3 linked regions of the Rhinolophus ferrumequinum genome follow. The protein of the gene in region 2 interacts with the protein of the main gene of each other region in a pairwise test. Links are inferred from orthologs where the notes say so. Each region holds a gene or a part of one and is shown on either strand. Other genes may lie near its edges.

What was found.
Region 1: the proteins of COQ8A (region 2) and SH3GLB1 interact in binary tests that used the Homo sapiens proteins (3 or more experiments, as listed by UniProt). The link is inferred for Rhinolophus ferrumequinum from reciprocal best matches to the Homo sapiens genes COQ8A and SH3GLB1.
Region 3: the proteins of COQ8A (region 2) and TMEM239 interact in binary tests that used the Homo sapiens proteins (3 or more experiments, as listed by UniProt). The two-hybrid records come from large-scale screens. The link is inferred for Rhinolophus ferrumequinum from reciprocal best matches to the Homo sapiens genes COQ8A and TMEM239.

Annotation. Positions count from the first base shown.
Region 1 is NC_046292.1:65,169,236-65,176,390, reverse strand, and holds the start of SH3GLB1 (endophilin-B1), read right to left. Parts: upstream 3,048-7,155; 5' UTR 2,727-3,047; coding exon 2,655-2,726; intron 1-2,654. UniProt on the Homo sapiens protein: May be required for normal outer mitochondrial membrane dynamics. Required for coatomer-mediated retrograde transport in certain cells. May recruit other proteins to membranes with high curvature. May promote membrane fusion.
Region 2 is NC_046310.1:14,681,463-14,688,790, reverse strand, and holds the start of COQ8A (atypical kinase COQ8A, mitochondrial), read right to left. Parts: upstream 3,032-7,328; 5' UTR 2,888-3,031; intron 1-2,887. UniProt on the Homo sapiens protein: Atypical kinase involved in the biosynthesis of coenzyme Q, also named ubiquinone, an essential lipid-soluble electron transporter for aerobic cellular respiration.
Region 3 is NC_046306.1:25,000,045-25,005,597, forward strand, and holds TMEM239 (transmembrane protein 239), read left to right. Parts: upstream 1-3,890; coding exon 3,891-3,927; intron 3,928-4,152; coding exon 4,153-4,221; intron 4,222-4,315; coding exon 4,316-4,836; 3' UTR 4,837-4,958; downstream 4,959-5,553. Other genes in the region: C23H20orf141 (uncharacterized protein C20orf141 homolog), read left to right, coding at 3,060-3,325, 3,428-3,602.

The sequences.
Region 1 (7,155 bases), on a different chromosome or scaffold from region 2:
TGATAGTTTATAAATATTTCAGAATGTATCTCTAACATACAGATTTACTATAAAAACACATATTAAAGGAACCTGTTCCTCCTGAATTTTTTCCCTTCTTATTAAATGGTTCAAGTCAACACCTTGGGGTCATCCTTGACTATCTTCCTCTCATACCCCCGAGTCAGTCTAAGGAGTACTGGATAGATTCTGAATCTTCCCTGCTATCACTCTTACTAAGTCACATTTTGCCTGTCCTATGGCCATAGTTCCCTAACGGGTCTGCCTAGTACCCCTGTAACCTCAGAGTCTTTGCACTTGTTCCTTTTGCCTAAAGTGCTTTTCTCCAAAAAAACTGTGAACTGTGACTTCCTTGAGGTCCCCTCCTATTAGAAAGGCTTGCCCTGATCATGTCTATACAACATGGCAACAGCTGCCACCTGTGCCATTAACCAATCCCTTCTGGCCTTTTTCTCCATCACCACCTGATGTATTCACTCGTTTGTCATCTCCTGCTAGATTGTAAGCTCTGGAAGGGCAGATGTTTTGTTGATTTTATTCACTGCAGTATCACCAATGTCCAAAATAGTAGGGATAAGCAGACATGAAGTAAACACTTAAGTTTTTAAGACTCAAAATTATTCGACAGTTCACAGATTAGAATACAATTTAAAAGCTTTTTCCTAAAGAATTTGAAACAATGAGTAATTATAATTCATCTGGAAAGTAGTACATCTTGTGAGAGCTTTGCCAGATTTTAAAAAGTGAGTCTACTGACAAGCTAAAGAAAATTCTACTATGTGTACTATTTAAGCAGTGTGGATTATATACCTGAAAACGTATCTAGCTATCTAAAAGAGTGGCATTATATAGTGTAAAATCTGCATTCAGCATCTAGAATCATAGGGAATCAGCACTAAAGCAATACCAAAGGCTCTGCCTCTCTCCTGCCTCTTTTGCCGTCAACATTAAGTCTCAAAATCAAACTTAATTTCAGACTCTCAATTCACTCACTCTTCTTGTACCTTGTCTTTGAACTATTTTAAGTAGGCTAATTTAAATCAAGAAATTATTTTAACGATAAGGTTCAATGTCTTTACAATGTATCTTATATTTTAATGGAAGATGGGGGAGAGAGGGTTAAGGCAGCTAGATTCACCATGCAGATTTTAAAACTTGGAAATCAAGAACTAGAAGGAATTTCCCATTTTTTAATTGTTACTTAAGTGTTACGGAAATGCTTAGATCGGAAATGCTTAGATCGTACTAGATGATCCTGAAGGTCTCTTTAGGCTGTAACATTCTATTATTCTATATATCCTAAACCTGCAGTGTTTATCCAGGAAGAGAGAAGTGGCTTGCAATAAGTAGTAGGTCAGCAAGTACTCGGCTATTTACTAGCCATGCAAGTTAAGCAAGTTAGTTAACCTCTCTGAGGCTGCTTCTTTATATATAAAAGGAGGTTAACGTTAGTAACATCTATCTGGCAAAGTTACAGAAAGGACTGGAGATAATTCGATAAATGTCTAGCGAAATGTGTGACAGTTTTTTCACAACACAGGCAGCTAGTACCTTGTTCTAGTTCTACCATGCTTTTGCCAAGCCTAGTGCAATGTAAGATCCACTGTGCCAGTAAAATTGGGGTAATGGAGACAAGGAAAGTAGTAAAGCAATACAACTGTTTTACATTTCAGTATCCATTTGATACCCGTATTAGAAAACTTGTTTTCTCTTTACAAAGGAGAATGCTGTTGCTACTGTGACTATGTCATTAACTTAAACACCAGATCGTTTATAACCCATGTTGCGGTGAAATTTACATCTGTTCATAGATTTCACTGAGTTGACATAATGTGGGTGATGTAGGAAACTGTCCAAGTTCTCCAGTACTGACACTTCCTTGTGGGGGTCCTCGAGATGCTTAACTTTGCCCCTTAAAGTGTGTTTGAAACAGACCGCTGTGACTACAGGCACAACATAAATCTCTCCCCTCGCTCTCCTCGCCCTACTGCCGGTGCTTCCCATTTTGAGAATGAGTGGAAAGCCCCAAACTCCTTGTTTCCCCTTGGCCTTGGCAAAGTCGGGACGCCAACTGGCGATCTCCATTTCTCCCGCGGGCTGCCAAGCCCAGGGGCCGTCCTTTCATGGAGAGAGAGGGCTGGAAGGAACTGTGTTGGCAGCTCTTTGGGTTGAAGGGCAGGAAAAGGAAAAAAACTTCCTTCTTAGACTCACTCGGCGGGGAGGGCGAAAGAGAGGAAAGGAAAGAGTGGGGGTGGTGCAAGAACAGTTTGTCTCTCTGCTACCCCCGCGGGACTCGCGAGGCCTCCGCCCGCCCCAGGAGGGAGGTCACACGAGCAGCCGCGTCGGGGTCAGAAAGGCGGGCGGTGCGGTGCCTCGGCTCGAGGCCGAACCCAAGGTGTCCTCCAGGGGCGGGAGGAGACGCCAGGCTCCGTCCCCACCCCACCTCGCTTTCCGGGAGCGGAGGGTGGGCAGAAGGGGTACAGAAAACTGACGCCAGGCCCTCAGGGGCACCAGGCCGCACCCATCAGCCGGGCCTCCGGCCGCAGCTCTCCCGCCGTGCGGTCAGCTAGACTGGGTGCGGAGGCCTCCGGCTGGGCGCTCCGACGTCCCCGCCTTGGCCCCGCGGCTCACCGCCACCCGCCCAACCCCAGTACCTGTACAGCACGGCTGAGGAAGGTGCCCGCGTCAGCCGCCAACTTCTTCACGTTGAAGTCCATGATGTTCATCCTGGGCGGCAGCCGGGCGGAGCTGCCGGCTGACCTAGCGGGGAGGCGGAGGCGCCTCGGCCGGGCTGGGGCGCCGGCAGGGAGTGGCGGGGGCAGACGTGGTAGGTGGAGGGAGGCGGCGCCAGCTCCGCCGCCGCAGCTGTCGTTTCCGTCAAGGGGGAGCGAGAGGGCGGGGCGAGGGGCGAGAACGCACGCCTCCGAGCCCGACGGGCGGCGGCGGCGGTGGCCGAGAGGTAGGGCCTGTCCAGTCCCGAGGGTGGCCGCTAACGTCCCGCTGGCAGCGGGGGGCGAGCAGAAGACGAACAGACTGGCGTTCTGACCCTGTGGGGCCGGGGCCCCAACGGAGCAAGCGGGCGCCGGCCGCGGGGCGGGGCCTTTATAGAGGTTATCGCGGGAACAGCGACCCCTTCAGGACCGCCGCGGTATAGCCGCGGGGCGTGCGGGTAGCTTGGCCTGCTCCTTCCTCCCCAAGGAGTGTCGTGTTCGCTGCGAGGGGCGCGCCACAGGGCCGCAGCAGTGCTGCGCGCTTGTAGTTAAGTCCGTGAGAACCAAGAGCAGAAACAACTCAAACCCACCTCTTTATTTTAAGACAAAATATGGAAATTGTAGCAAAGAATTACAGTATCTGTGAAATAGAAACAACAGCTCCGTCATCTTGTAGCACCTGTGCCCAGCTGCTCTCTGACGCCTGGATGGCATTCGGTTGCCTATGTTTGCAGGCCCCCGCCGGGCCTGTTGTTTCTTCATTCTTTCAAAATTATTGATATCTATTGTGTACAGGACTGAATCTAGTGTTGGAGATATCATGCTGAGATAAAATTGGGGTAATCCCTGGACAAGACTTTGTCCTTGCCCTCAAGAAGCTCTCCGTTCCTTTACTTAACAACCTTCAGGGATTTCTCCATCCCCAGTGGAAGCTCTTAACTATTTGCTGCCGCCACAGGACTTGGTGACTGCCTGAAGGCAGCATGCACCTGCTGAGATACAGGACCAATCTTAGGTGCCTGCTTTGTCCAGAGTATGGTGCCTGGGACACAAAGTGCCAAGTGGGGGACACTAAGAATTATAAAATGGTGAGTGAGATAGAATAACCCTTAAAGATTCAGGGTAGTGAATTTAATAACAAATGATAATATGATGTGAAATCTGTTCAAAACCCCCTAATTCCGAGTAACTTCCTAACCAGTCTTCATGATACAGCCTATAGTTGAACTAAATTAGAACAGGTGCAAGCATGGAGAAAGACATTAGTATATCAAGAATAAGAAAACACTGTATTTTTTGTGTTGCTGTGCCCTTTTGTTACATTAGGGCTGGGAAAATGCAGGCCCAGCAGGCAATAAAATTAGCTTGGATTCATGCTTGGTTTACTGAAACAGCAACCACAGAAAGAGTGGCTGTTGTTAAAGTCTGAAAGATTAGTTCCTAAAGGTATTATAAGGAACAGCAGATAATATTTGTGTTCTTTTATTATTTATGGTGGTGACAAAAACAACCACTTCTTTTTAAGATAACTCCAATAGAATGACTCTACAGGACAAAAATATTACATGTGTCTTTCATATAAGCCTGTTTTTCCAGAAATATGGGACAGAAAATATATAATTAGTAATCTTGTTTTTCTTTTATTGTCCATTTTAGATTTATATGTGGAAAAGCACTCTCTCTTCACAGATGTCTATCTTCACAATAAGTACATTTGCCATAATCTATGTCCATTTCTACAAAAGAATCATAGCATCACATCCACCCTTATAGGAAGAAACTCTGGGTCCTCTTCTTCAAAGGTGTAGATCTTCCTGACTTGGAAGACGCCTTCACATCTTCCTGTTGAGCCCACTATAGCTGTAATACTGTTTCTCTTGTTTCACTGACAGAGTCACACGACTATAGTGTACTGCCTCAATTTTCTTATCATCTATTTCCTGCTTAATTCCACGTAGTTGACTTCCACTTCTGTAACTATACCTAAAAACCATTTTTGAGGTTGCCAATTATATTCTTTTTAAAAAGTTTTTAAAAAGATTTTTATTAAAATATAGCTAACATACAATATTATTAGTTTCAGGTGTGCACCATATATTCAACATTTATATACCTAAAGAAATGATCACCACAAGTCCAGCAACCATCTGACACCGTACCACGTTATCACAATCTTGTTGACTATATTCCGTATGCTGTACATTACATCCCCGTGATTTATTTGTTTTATACCTGGAGATTTGGACCTTTTGTTCCCCTTCACCTTTTCTCCCTTTAAAAATTTTTCAATTATAGTTGACATTCAATATTAGTTTATATTAATTTCAGGTGTGCAGCATAGTGGTTAGACATTTGTATAATTTAAGAAGTGATCCCCCTGCCTAGTCTAGGACTCACCTGGCACTACACATAGTTATTACCGTATTATTGACTATATTCCCTGTGCTTTACTTTACATTCCCTTGACTGTTTTGTAACTATCAGTTTGTAGTTCTTAATCCTGTCACCTTTTTCATTCTGCCCCAAACCCTCTCCCATCTATCACCCCAACAAATCTAGTACCCACCTGACACCATACTTATTACAAGATTATTGACTATATTCCTTATTCTATACCCTACATCCCCATAACTACTTTGTAACAACTAATTTGTACTTCTTAATCCCTTCCCCTTTTTCACTCACTCCCAACCCTTCTCCCATCTGGCAACCATCAATATGTTCTCTGTGTCTATGAGTTTGTTTCTGTTTTGTTTGTTTGTTTTGATCTTTAGATTCCACATGTAAATGAAATCACATTGCATCTGTCTTTCTCTGTTTGACACCCCACTCAGCATAATATCCCTTCGGTCCATCCAGGCCACTACAGATGGCAAGAACCCATTCCCTTCCTTGGCCAAGCAATATTCCATATATATGTATAAGCTCCTCTGTATCCATTCTTCCATCAACAGACACCCAGGTTGTCTCCATATCTTGGCCATTGTAAACAATGCTGCAATGAACATATGGATGCACACATTCCCTTGAAGTAGCATTTGGGTTTCTTCAGATAAATACCCTGAAGTGAGATTACCGGGTCCTTCTTTGTGTCTTGTTATAGCCTTTGTTTTAAAGTCTATTTTGTCTGGTATAAGTATTGTTACCCCAGCTTTTTTGTTTGTTTGTTTTCGTTTCCATTAAATATCTTTTTCCATCCCTTTACTTTTTGTCTGTGTATCTTCCAGTCTGAAGGGAGTCTCTTGTAGGCAGTATATATTGTTTTCTTATCCATTCAGCCCTCCTATGTCTTTTGATTGGAACATTTAATCCATTTACATTGAAAGTAATTGTTGATAGATATGTAGCAATTATCATTTGATTACTCATAATTTTGATTTTTCCCCCTTTCTTAAAGAAGTCCCTCTAACAGTCCTTTTAATACTGGTTGGGTGGTAATGAATTCCTTCAGCTTTTTCTTGTCTGGGAAGCTCTTTACCTGTCCTTTGATTCTAAATGATAGCTTTGCTGGGTAGAGTAATCTTCGTTGTAGGGCCTTGTTTTTTATCATGTAGAATATTTTATGTCAATCCCTTCTGGCCTGCAAAGTTTCTGTTGAGAAATCAGCTAACAGTCTCATGGGAGCTGCCTTATAAGTGACGAGTTGCCTTTCTCTTGCTGCTTTTGGGATTCTCTTTGTCTTTAACCTTTGCCATTCTAATTATAATATGAATTGGTGTGGGCCTGTTTGGGTTCATCTTGTTTGGGACTCTTTGCACTTCCTGGACTTGTATGTCTATTTCCTTCACCAGGTTAGGAAAGTTTTCAGTCATTATTTCTTCAAATACGTTCTCAATCCCTTCTTTCTCTTTTCTCCTTCTGGCACTCCTATGATGCAAGTATTGGTGTGCTTGATGTTGTCTCAAAGGCCCCTTAAACTATCCTTATTTTCTAAGATTTTTTTTTTAATATAATTTTTTGCTGCTCTGATCGGGTGTTTTCTGCTGCCTTATCTTCCATATCGCTGATTCGATCCTCTGCTTCATTTAGTCTGCTGGTGATTCCTTCTAGTATAGTCTTCATTTCAGTTATTGTGTTCTTTATTTCTTACTGGTTCTTTTTTATGGTTTCTATGTTATTTTATATGCTTTCAGTCTCTTTGTTGAAGTTCTCACTAAGTTCCTTGGGCATCCTTATGAGCATTGTTTTGAACTCTGTATTCTGGTAGGTTCCTTGTCTCCATTTTGTTTAGTTCTTTTTCTGGAGCTTTCTCCTGTTCTTTCATTTGGGACGTATTTTTTTGTTTCCTTATTTTGGCTGCCTCTCTGTGTTTGTTTCTATGTATTAGGTAGGTTTGCTATGTCTCGCAGTCTTGGCTGGGTGTCCTTATGTAGTAGGTACCCTGTGGAGCCCAGTGTCACAGTCTCCCTGGTCACCTGCACTGGGTGCTCCATGAGTTTCTCTT
Region 2 (7,328 bases):
TTTCTTACGACCTTCTCTCCGTGCACACACTAAAAATAAATCACACCCAGGTATGAAGAACAAAAAGAGTTTTTCAGAGTCATTTCCAACTTTCAATATTCTGTGGGGCACTGACCTCAAAGCTAAGGGTCAAGCGCTCAGAAGCCTATAACCCCAACAACAAACAACATGCTTGTGGATAGACCAATAGATACCGTGCCACTTGGGTTCGCAAAGAGGGGGCAGAAGCTCCCTTTCAGATCCCACCCAGATGCATGTCACTGGGGGTCCTGGTCCTGCCTCTGGGCCAGCAGACCCACCCCTCCCATAGGTGCAACTCCAGAAGGAGCAGGACCTCGCACTCGCCCACTCCCACCAGCTCTCCTTTCCACTGGCTCGCCCAAGTTCCTGGCTGCTGTTTAGCAGGAATGCTGGAACTATTTCTAGATGCCACTGTCAGATCAAGACAACTCTCTATCTAAATATTCCCGTCTAATTCTGCACACAGCTCTTGTTTCAACCGACAAAGATAATGACTCAGGGTCCATGGCTCTTGGTGGAAAATTATCCTGCCAAGTTTGGAGCTTCCCAATAATAGACTTCTCAACACTACTTTTTGAGAAAGGAGAAGTGGGCTCCCTGTCCAGATCCTTTTCTCAAAGGGGCCCGAAAGACCCCCTAGCTGACCAAGGAATGTTATGGGAAAATCCTGATACATCCCCACAGAACCAACTGATTAACAAGAAAGGGAAATTTCTGGTAGGTGCCTAGGATGTGTTTCCCTTCCCTGTACAGTAATCCGTTTTTCAGCTTTTCTGCACCCCCATTCGTTTGGGACTTAGAAGTAGGGGGCATAAAATCCAGGTTACACTGAAGGCAAAATCCAGACTCAGAGGTAAAGCATCTTTCTCTGTATGAAAAGAAATGGCTCACTGTCTTTGACATTGACGCTTCGATCAAATATAAAAGAACCCCACAAATCATACATGTGTCCGTGCTGCACCACTGCACTCCTGGGGAGCCTCTCCCAAGGACGGGCACATGGTACATAAAAATAGACCTACACATATGTTTGCAGTGCAGCCGGACACCCCCTCCCTGCAGATGCAGGCCCTACCCCCTCCCACATCACAATACACAAGAGATGTCTCCCCCAAAAGTAAGGAGTAAAGCATCATCTTGGAAAAGCCACCTGTGGACAACTGAGTTGGCCTTTCTGCCAGCATTCAGACAGCTTAAACTTGTTTGCCCACTATTTAAAAACTGCCCCGTGATTATTTCATATGTATATTCCCGTAGTCTTGCAAAACCCCCAAACATAGAAACCACCAGTCTTCCACTTCTTTTGCACTCTGGACCCAGCCAGTCACTGCCATACATGCAGCAGGCACAGCAAATGTCCATGGGTTTCTACCTTCTATCTCCTTGCCGCCCCAGGTCCTCAGGTGGGGCTTTTTTACAGCCCAATCTACAGGGCTTCTGCCATCGATTTAGGGCAGGGGACACAACACTACTCCGTTCCTAAACCTCTCAACTACTCAGGGGCATCCTGGGAAGACTCTTTTAGAGTATTACCTCAGTGGTTCTCACCAAGGGCGATTCTTTCCTCTAGGAGATATTTTTGGTTGTCACAACTAATGGGGGGGAGACGGGGCTACTAGCATCTAATGGATACAGGCCAGGGATGCCGCTTCACATCCTACAATGTGCAGGTCAGCTGCCCCGCCACACACACACACACAATTATCCAGTGCAAAATGTTGATCGTCTGGAGACTGAGAAACACTCTTAGGTAACACACTGGAAAGCACCTGCTTCACTTTTTATTCCGAGTTGCCTGAGGTCAGGCCAAAAATGTAACAGCCCTGCACTGTCGGCATTATTTGCAAGGCTGAACAAAATGTCCAAAGCCATCGCAGGCGTCTTACAAGATGCTGCTCCCCTGAACCACCAGCCCCCACTCTGTGTTTTCTCAGAAGGCCCTTCCTACTAGGATGGCCCCAGATGGGTGCATGCACAGCATAACTGGCAGGCTGGCATCATGCAAACTCAAATCCTTTGGCACCGAGGTAGGCCTGGCATGCCCAGCTCTTCAGTCTTCTGTCACGCACACCCATGGCCCAAGTGAACAGTGAGCGTGGACAAGTTTTCCAACGGGCTGCAGGCCCAACCCAGGCTAAGAGAAGGCTGCACAGAAACTGACACCCCTGCACCCAGACTCGCCCCGGCAATATCCCTCATCCCCCGAGGCACAGGGGAGAACTGGCCTGCGTTTGGCAGGGGCGCAGGGAGGCTACGGAAAGGAACAAGTTTAAGCAGTTAAGCCCAAACCACTCACAAGACCCCCAGTGTTTTGAGAAGCAGGAGGAAGGGACAAAGCAAAGCGAACGGAGTGAAGGACCCAGAAGGGCCTCGTTTTTCAAGTTCACCCAAACCCCCCACCCGTGAAACCCAACAGCTGCCAGGGGAGTCAAAGCACTGACTCCAACCTGCAGCCAGGGACAGTGAAAGCCCCCGACGACAGTGCAAAGGGGTCTGGGAGTGAAGAGAAAGATTATCAGGAGAAAGCGAGACAGGAAAGCTGTCTTGGCGACCAAGAGACAAAGCATCTGGCGGCGGGTCACCGAGGCTGCTCGGCGCGCCCCGGGGCTCCGGCCGCGGCTCCCGTCCCCTCTCCGAGGCAGGCCCCGCGAGCCGTGGTGGGGATCGGGGTCGGCGACATTTGCAGGCCCCCACCCTGCATCCTGAGACGCACACACCGCGTGCCGGAGCTCACGGCCGTGACAATAGCAAAGAAAAAGCCGCGCTATCTCTTCAGGAGGATGCGAGGAGGGCCCGAGGCGGGTCAGATCCCAGCTCTGGCCGCAGGCAGACGGCGCTCCGGGCACGCGGCGGGCGGCAGCCTTACCCCGGGGCAGGAAGCTGGGATCCGCAGTCACCTTCGCGCCGCCTCCGAGAAGTCGCCGCACCGCTGGCGCCCGACACGCGCTCCGGATCTGTTTACCAACTGGTCCGCGCCGGGAGACCCTGAGCTGGCGGCCCCGCCCCACCGGTCGCTCCCATTGGCTGCGCCGCCGCCGCCGCCGCCGGCGGAACGCCGCTGGGAGCGTGTTCGGCCCGTGTGCTCAGCCCACGGCCAATCGGGACCGAGGGCGGAACGAGAGCAGCCAATGGGAGGCCGCCCCAGCGCGCAGGGCCGTCCCTTTCTGCCCTCCCCGCTGCCCTTTCCCCTAGTATGGAAAGATTGCGCCGAAGGTGCGGCTGCGAGGTGGGTGGCCCGGCGTGCCTGTGCGCCAAGAAAGGGCCCTTCCTCGCAATGAGGCGACCGCTGTGGTCGCGGTGGCCAGTCTTTTTTTTGTCACCTTCTTGCAGGTGCTCGCTGAGCCTCCAAACGGCCGTGGCAGGGAAAGCCCCGGGTGGAAGGAGCGAACGGAACCGCGGCGGGCGCGCACGGGGCGAGCACGGGGCGAGGCCTGCCCTGTGCCCGCTTGGATGTCACCAGGGCCCCTCCCAGCTTCCCCACCTGGCGCTCCCAGAAGGGGAAAGGGCTGCGAGCCAAGCCGTTGGTGTTTCCATCTCTGGCGGCCTGGCCCCGCCTACTTGTCCTTTCTCCTCTGGCTAACCGTGTTGACTTTGCGGGCGCCATCCCCAAAACAGGAAGCTCGCGGGGACCGGGACGTGCAGCCCGTGTCCCCAGGTAGGGGCACCGAGGAGGTGGCCCACGGAGCGTGCAACTCCCCACGGGGCTTGGAGAACCCAGTCGTTTGTCCATGCCCGCGAGTCTCGTCGCGGACTGTGGGGCAGGGGAACAGGCCTGCACGTGGAAGGAACCGTGAGGGCAACCTCGCAAGTGAACCCTGTAACACGCAGAACTGCCCTGGGAGGAACTGCTTCCTTCCCCCAGCAGATTTCCCTCAAATCACTCCTCTGTTTAACCAGAGAATTCAGATCTGAGCCCAGGTCTGTCTGACAGTTTCCCCTGGGGTGATTCCTAAAGGCTGGTCTGCAGCTCTGTCCGAGGTTGTTGGTGGAGCTTGTGGAAAAAATAACAATTTCGTTTTTCATCAAACTGTTCAAGCCAAAGGATTTTCCTTTCTTCTGATACTTTTTGGAATGAACATTTAACTTTTTGGAAACTTTTTAAGTATAGTTGACATGCAATATTATATCAGTTTCAGGTGTACAATATAGTGATTTGACACTTACCTACCTTAGGATGTGATCACCCCACTAAGTCAGTAACCATCTGTCACCTTGTAAAATTATTAAAATATTATGGACTATATTCCCCTTTACCTCTTTGACCCATCCCCGCACCTTCCTCCAAAACTTGGTTAATATTATTACTTAGAAAAATTAAAAGCAGCTCTATATTGATGCCTAAAATGGGAGAAGGGGACATTTATTATACAGGCATACCCCAGGTATATTGCATGTTCACCTCCAGACCACAACAAAATGAGTCATGTGAAGATTTTGGTTTCCCAGTGCATATAAAAGTTACGTTGTCGAGCATACTGGAGTCGATTAAGTGCACACTAGCATGATGTCGAAAAATGCAATGTACCTACCTTAGTTAAAAAAATATATTGATAAAAAAGGCTAACAATCATCTCAGCCTTCAGCAGGTCATAACCTTTTTGCTGGTGGAGGGTCTTGCCTCGATGTTGATGGCTGCTGACTGATGAGGGTGGTGGTTGCTGAAGGTTGGGGTGGCTGTGGCAATTTATGAAAATAAGACAGTGAAATTTGCTGCTTCTATTAACTCTTTCATGAACTGTTTCTTTAGTATGCAATGCTGTTTGTTAGCATTTTAGCCACAGAACTTTCAAAATTGGAGTTAGTCCTCTCCAACCCTGCCACTGCTTTATCAACTAAGTATAGGTAGTATTCTAAATCCTTTGTTGTCGTTTCAACAATCTTCATAGCATCTTCCCCAGGAGCAGATTCCACCTCAAGAGACCACATTCTTTGCACATCCATAAGAAGTAACTCCTCATCCATTATAGTTTTGTCATGAAGTTGCGGCAATTCAGTCACATCTTCAGGCTCCATTTCTAATTCTAGTTTTCTTGCTATTTCCACTACATCTGCAGTGACTTCCTCCACTGAAGTCTTGAACCTCTCGAAGTCATCCATGAGGGTTAGAATCAACTTCTTCCAAACTCCTGTTAATGTTGATATTTTGACCTCTTCCCATGAATCACGCACACATATTCTTAGTGGCATGTGGAACGGTGAATCTTTCCTAAAAGGTTTTTAACTTGCTCGCAGGGTTGCCACAAACCTTCAATTTATAAATAAATAAATATTGCACCCTTCAATTTATAAATAAACCTTCAAAAAAATAAGTAAATAAATAAATAAATACAGGGCATGCCTGTCCTGCTTTAAGTACACAAGTTTCCTATGACACTTTCAGAAACCACTGTGTGGGAAATGCTGGATTAGGCGATCACGGGCGGGGGAGGGGGTCCCCCTTTCCCTAAAACTTTTTCCTATTTTTAAAAACTTTTGAACATTTCATTGATTTCAATCTTTCATTAGGTAATACATTCACATAATTTTAAAAAACAACAACTATTTTTAAAAGGTTTGCAGTGAAAAGTCCCTCCCTACTCCATCATCTCTCTCCCACCCCACTTCCCAACCCCGATGCCCCCACATCCTTCCACACAAAAGTTTCTTGTAACCACTCTAAAGTTTCTTGTCTCTTTTCCAAGTTTCTTTATACATACATAAGCAAATACAAATATACACTCTTCTGTTTTACACAATGGTCATACTCCACTGTTTTTGTTTTCATTTAATGACATAGCTTAGAGTTCTTTCCACGTTTGCCCATGAGAGCGTCCTCATTATTTTTTTCAGTATTAGGTTATGTGGACAAACCATAATCTGTTTAACCAGTCTCCCGTTGATGGTCATGAGGACGGTTTCAATTCTTTTGCCATTTCACCCGTGCCTCAGCGAATAATCCTGTTTGTTTTCAAAATGTGATTCATTTCGACCTAGACAAGACTGAGTTGGCGAGAACAGTGGAGAGAGAATAGTGTTGGAGAGAACAGTGCCAGTGCAGAGTACACACGTGTCCTCGATGTGCTCAGAGGCCTTACATACATGACTCATGGGCCCCAAGACTGATCATACAGCCCCAAACACCCAATGGTGACCATTGCAGGCCACAATCTCAGGAGGTCACCAGACTCGGGAAAATCCAATCCAGTCCTGCTAAGAGAATGACTTCAAGGGATTCCCAGGCCTGTTCAACGAAGGCAAGACTAATCACTGTAATTAGCTGACTGCACAATTAGAAGTGATTAAGCCCATTACAGAAGAGGCTGAGCTCCCCACAACAGGAAATATCCCCTCAGCTCATTAACAATGTCTGCTGCTTTTCTCTCCGTTTTCCTTAGCCTATGTTTGCAACATGTGTCTGCCTTCTCAATAGGGTATTATTTTTCCTTCTCAGATTAATTTCTTTTCAACACAATGTAGCAGATGGACAAGAGCCAAGTATGCCAAATCATTGGCTTAATTTTTCTATTTTGAAATTGAGATCTAATCTGTGCAGTAAAATGCACAGATCCTAAGTCTACAATTCACAAGTTTTTACAAACGAATAGGTCATGTAAACAACACCTCAGTTAAAATAAACAACACTTTTTTATTTCCCTCCAGGAAGTTCCTTCATGCCCCTCTTTCTAATCACCTCCCACCTCACCCCAGGCAACTGTTCTAAGTTGATTTCGATAAGGAGAAATAACTGATTGTATGACACGAATTAGGAAGTAGCACCCTCGGAATAGAAAGAGTACAGAATTCATTCTCTTGTCCTTAAATTCTTTGTGTGTGGGGGAAATCATCCCAGTTGCTGAATATGTATTTTACTTTTTTCTCCCTTAGACTGTTACTGCATACTTTAAATTTTTTTTTAAACTCACTTAAATTTAGTAGTTTCCAGATGAGCTGAGCCTAATTATACATCAATATCTTGCATCACTTCCTTCTGAGATACCCAGAACCAGAGATGAGAGAGCAAGGTTGTAAATGGAAGTTTAGAAAAGAGAGAACTGGGTGCCCAAAATAGAAAGAACCCTCCGCAGGCAGGACTGCCATCAAAGCAGGTAGGGGCTGCAAGGAAAAGAATTTCAACTTACAAGTAAGGACAGACCAAGGACACACACAAGATACCTTTTTGCCAATGACCAAGGATGTTGAAAGTCACTGTGAACTTAGTAATAAAAGTACCGGAGGGCCTGGCTCCCTTGGGTGAAAGAAGCAATTTCTGGAAGAGATTACGAGGCATAGACCTACAAGTCTGAGAAGGGCAGAATGTCCCACTGGTG
Region 3 (5,553 bases), on a different chromosome or scaffold from region 2:
AGGATACATGACTTTGGCGCCACACTGGCTTAATTTCACATCTGCCATCATTTATTTTGTTTGTGTAACCTTTGATAGTAATTTCACCTCTTTGAGCCTCTGTTTCCTTATCTGTAAAATGGGAACGATAGTATCTTCCTCCCAGGATTGCTATGATGATGAAATGAGATAATATGTGGTTCCAAGGGGCCCTGAAATTAATCTGATGAATTAAAGGTGGAGAAAACAGCTTAACACGGTGCACTTGTTCTCACATACATGGATGGAATAAAACAAATCAAGAAAAGAAAGGAGGCTATGTGTCTGGCTTCACAAATAGAGAAGTACTAGTGGAATCCACTACCTGCCTGTGCGTCCTAACCTCCTGTTCCTGGTGCTGAGACAGAACTCACTACCCACTATGTGTTTTCCTTATGATGCAGGTGAGTATTGATGGGGACTCCCGTGGCACCTAGATGCACAGGGAGGTACCTCCCACATGTCCATCCTCCCTTCACCATCATCTTCCCCAGCTGTCTCTCTTTTGTACATCAATGTCTTTTAGAGCTCATTCTCAAAGAGTGGCCAAGGACCAACAGCATCAGCATCCCCTGGGAGCTTGTTAGAAATGCAGAATCCCTGACCAGTTCCATCCCAGGGAAGTCATGTGCACATTGAAGGTTGAGAAGCTCTAGTTGGAGGTTTAAAGCCTCCACTTAAAATGCATAAGATTCACAGCTTTCTGAGTTTGATGGTGTTTGGTGCTGTCACTGGAAATGTTATCTCAAGCCACAAGAGTACATCCACATAACATTAGGAAATTGGCATTTCACTCGTCCTGGGAGGGTATATTCTTGATCTCAACAATATGAACCTACATTGATTTGCTTTTTTATTTTTAACTAAATCATTTTTATCAAAATACTATGGAATATAATTTTAGGGGTAAATTACATTTAGGCTTGTAATAGACTTTTCTATGCTTCTCCATTCCCAAGTCAACCATTTTAAATGCTTTTTGTTATTTTTCCTTGTACTTACTTCTATGCTTCTATTGCTGTTTCTACGCTTCTATTGCTATTTCTTGATGTTTAGACATTATCTGTGGAATTCCTAATGTGGAATTAAGGATTTAGCTTTCTTATCACCCTTCTACCCATACATACCCAAATACACAAACATACACTTCCCCTCCTTCCATTTTCCCAAAAGAGCTAAATCACTGGATTCTATATTCAGTGCTTATATTATGACCATGTAAATATTATTGTTCAACTTTGTGTAATAATTACTTTGTAATTCTTTCTTTGTAAATATTTATTTGTAATAATTACAAAGTAATTACTTTGTTTTATCATTTGCTGGGTCTTAAAGGCACCAATTGCTAATACAATTCTAAGTTTCCAACAGAACTGAACATTTATTTTGAATATGTCTAAAAACAGCAGATAATCATTTTATTTTCTTCTGGAGACATCCCTGCTGGGGATGATGAAGTGATCCAAAAGCATCTATCTTTTGATTCCAGGATGAGTTGCTTGTTTTCCCACCTGGGAGCACAGCTGACATCCCAGGCCCTTCTCATCATACCTCTCCTGTGTTTGGCCTCATTTCTTAAAACCCATATTCTCTTCTTTCTTAATTATTTGTTTTCCTGAAGTACATCCTCCAGTAACTTTCTAAGAAACAGTGCATGCAAGGTCAAAATTTTGAGACCTTGTATGGTTTAGAATGTCTTTATTCTGCCCTCACACTTGGTATGCATTTGGGCATATATACGTTTCTAGGTTGGAAATCATTTTCCCTCAGAATTTTGTGGGCATTTCTTTATTGCTTTGGCAAGAGCCAGAGCAAAGTAATCAAAGAATGGTCCCAAGGGTCAGTGGCATTAGCTTCATGGGCTGTTGAGCCCATCACCACCAAAGATATCAACGTTGCCAAACTTGAGTCTTTGGACAAGGCCCACTGGAGATAGATATGCAGCCTGATTCTCACTCTGTCTCCTCCTCTCCTAGCAGCTGTGTGGCCACTGTCTTCACTACCTGCCCCCATCAGTTTTCCTTCAAAATATGATATGTGGACAAGGATTAAGTTCTCTCATTTATGACCCATTTCCATTCTTGCCTCTCAAGGCACTAAACTAAGATGTGCTGGAACTTCTGGAACCATCACCCAGTTACAGACTATCAGTGGGGGTAGGTTTCTTTCCCAGACGACCAATCCCTTCATTACATGTTCATTTTCCTGAATTTCATTCTCAGAGGGTAACCTTAACCTCCAGTTTGGGGGTTACTATGTAGTAGCCCTCTTACGTTCATATCCTGTATGCCATTTCTGGAATCCCAGTATCTGGAACACCTCCCACAAACCATGGTACTACTTAGAATGCCTAAATAGCCCCGTCTTGCCCCATTCCTATGTAGCAGGTCACATGGGAGCCCAGCCACAGAAAGCCTCAGGTTTGCTTCCTGACAGAGTCTATCTCTGTATCCCAGGACTGTAATACTGAAAAAAATCCCCCACAAGAGCTCACAGGCATCACCCTACTCTCAGGGAAGAGAGCATTAGACAGGAAGATTGAATAACTTGTCCCTGGACACACAGCTCTGGGAACCTGCAGGAAAAAGAAAGCAGCCCTTCCTCCTTTGGTCAGCTGCCCATGTGGTGATGAGGTTAGATGCCTTCTTGGCAACACAGATCCCCAAGGGAGGGCCCTAGGGCAGAGAATTAGCAGAGGCAAGAGATTGAGTCTTGGTTCTCAGAAATCACTGACCTCCTCTGGCTAAGCCCCAGCTGCTTATGAGGCCAGAACCAGCAGCAGCCACTCCCTACCTCAGGGATCCACCTGGCAAGAGGTCACAATGCCCCAGCTGTCAGGCCCAGAATGGCTGACCTAAGTGGGAGGAGGTGAGAAGGGCTGGGTGGGTGAGCGTGTGGGGAGGGGGAGATTCCCCATGAGCCCCATTCCCCACTCCCTGAGCTCACCCTTGAGTGATTTCCACCCCTTCCCACTTTCCCACCCCACCCCCATACTCCCTCCCAGGAAACAAAGCCCCTTCCTGTAACCTCCGCCTCCCTCCATGACCCAGCTCTGCTCACTCAGGCCCAAAGCCCTTGCTTATCCTATCCCTGTCCCTCCCAGGGGCCTGGGTGCTGGAGAGGGATCGGGTCATCCAGTGGGTCCATGTATGTCCTCTTTGGACCCTAGTCCAGCCCAGCTCATGGACAGTGTCCTAGGGCTGGGGGCACTGGGGTTGACAATTTGGGCAGTCTTTTCCTCGGCTGGCCCAGCCTTGCTGCTGCTGCTGCTACTAGTCAGCTTCCTGGCCTTCGACCTACTCCACAGGTAAGTGGGCAGCAGCCTGGCAGATGGGCAGGCATGGGCAGGTGAGGAAGTGGTCAATCTCCCAAAGCCCGGCTGCTGCCCTCTTTCTCCACAGGCCCTCAGATCCACCGGGCCACAGCACACACTTCTCACAGGGGGCCTGAGTCAGGGGGCTGGTGAGGGTCCCAGATGGCAGGAGGCTCTACTCCTGCCGATGGTGGCAGTCACAGGACAACTCTGCCTCCAGGAAGCTCTGCTCCTGCTGCTCCTGGGCCTGGGGCTGTTCCTGGGAGCCTGAGGGGTGCCTTTGGCCCTGCTTGGCCTGGCTTTCTGCCTCCATCCTTGGGCCTGAGTGCCCTCCAGAAATACACTGGCCATAGTGCTGCCTCATTCCTCTTTTTCTCCATCGTGGGCTTGGCAGGGTGGGAGGGTAACCCATTGTCCCCAGGGGACCTCCAGCCCCACAATGTGAAAGCAGCCATAGAAGGTGAGATAAGGCACAGGTTGCCCAGTGCGGGAAGTGATAGCCATCTCAGAACCTGCAGATTGGGGTTGGCCATTCTGGCCTCCTCTGTGGTTCTAAAGAATGAAGGTCCAGAGAGAAAGACTTGCGAGAGAGCAGAGTGTGACTGGCTATCAGCCAGCAGGGAACAGACAGATATCCAAGAGGGCTTCCCACAAGAAAGCATGACAAACTACGTCTGTTGACTCCCCAGGCTCCTCTGCCAGCCTGAAGGGTCCACAGAGAAGGGCTTGCATGAGGCTCGCACCCTGCAATGGCTCCTTTCTTGGCTGGACCCCACCCTAGACCAGGTCACAATGGGCTCCTCTGGGAGGGTGGAGATGAGGGAAAGAGGGGACTCATCTCTGGCTGCCAGGCCGTCCTGGGAGCTACAAGAAGCAACATGACTTAGGTGGCTTTGCCCAGAGGTAAGACCCAGTCCCCAGCTCAAAGCCCCACCCCACCCACACTGGTGCCCACCTGACTCCTGCACCCACACCTGCCCTGAGGTCCCAGACATATCCAAGGCTGCTTCTGCAGCTGGCCTGGCCTCTCCCCAGGTGCACCAGCCATGATGCAGCAGTCGCAAATGGAGACAGATGCCATCGGGGCCGGTGAGGGGCCGCAGCGGGCGGTGCCCTGGTCGGCCTGGGTCTCGCGACAGAGTTGGCTGCGCTGGTGTGCATCCCACGTGCCCCAGAGCTGGACCCACTGGTGGGCCACATCCAGCTGGCGGCAACCACTGCAGCGTGTGCTTTGTGGTCTGGAAGGGATCCTCTACCTGCTGCTGGCACTGATGCTATGTCACGCGCTCTTCACCACGGGTTCCCATCTGCTGAGCTCCCTGTGGCCTGTGGTGGCTGCAGCGTGGCGACATCTGCTGCCCGCCGTCCTGCTGCTGGTGCTCAGTGCCCTCCCGGCCCTGCTCTTCACCGCCTCCTTCCTGCTGCTGTTTTCCACGCTGCTAAGCCTCGTGGGCCTCCTCACCTCCATGTCTCACCTAGGCCACGCTCAGGATTTGGACCAATAGAAGGGCAACCCCATCCCGCTGCTTGTGTCTGTTGAGCCCTGGCCTAGGGCCTGAGGCCCAGGGGAGAGGGAGGGCAGTGGGATCAGGGCCTTCCTGCCTTAGCAGGCTCAGACCCCCGGTCCCTAGCACTGGTTGTGGCATGCGTGCTGTTGCTGGAGCAGGCAGGGTAGACTGGCCTGACCTCTGGGCACCTCCCTCAAGCCCATGCTACAGGTACTGGGTGTGGAGGGCCAGGGGCTTTGAGGAGAGGGGACAGGGAAGAAGGCTTAACTAGGGGCATAGTTAGCCAAGCCACCAACAACTCCCATGTGGGTGTGGTGACACCACTGGGGCCCCCTTAGCAACTAGCGGCATCTTTTTCTTGCAGCTGTCTCAGCTTCAGACTCATTGAGAACTTCTACCTAGGTACTCCTGGACTTGCCATTCCTCCCACCAACCGCCTCTTTCCACTTGCCCAGGCTCTAGAAAGGGCCCACTGACAGAAAGCTAGCTGGCAGAGGACTGACCACAAGCCCCATGAGATCTCAACTAGTTCACCTCCCAGATCTTTCTGCCCAGGCATTTCCCCACTCCCTAGACGTCCTAGCTCCTGCCTTAGTCTACATCCCCAAATCTGGGAAATGGGCCAAACAGTATAATGAGGTTCTCAGAGAGTACCTACTCTTTAAGTTTCGTGAGGTCTGTTCTGGAAAACAAAGAAGTCCCGTTTCACCCACC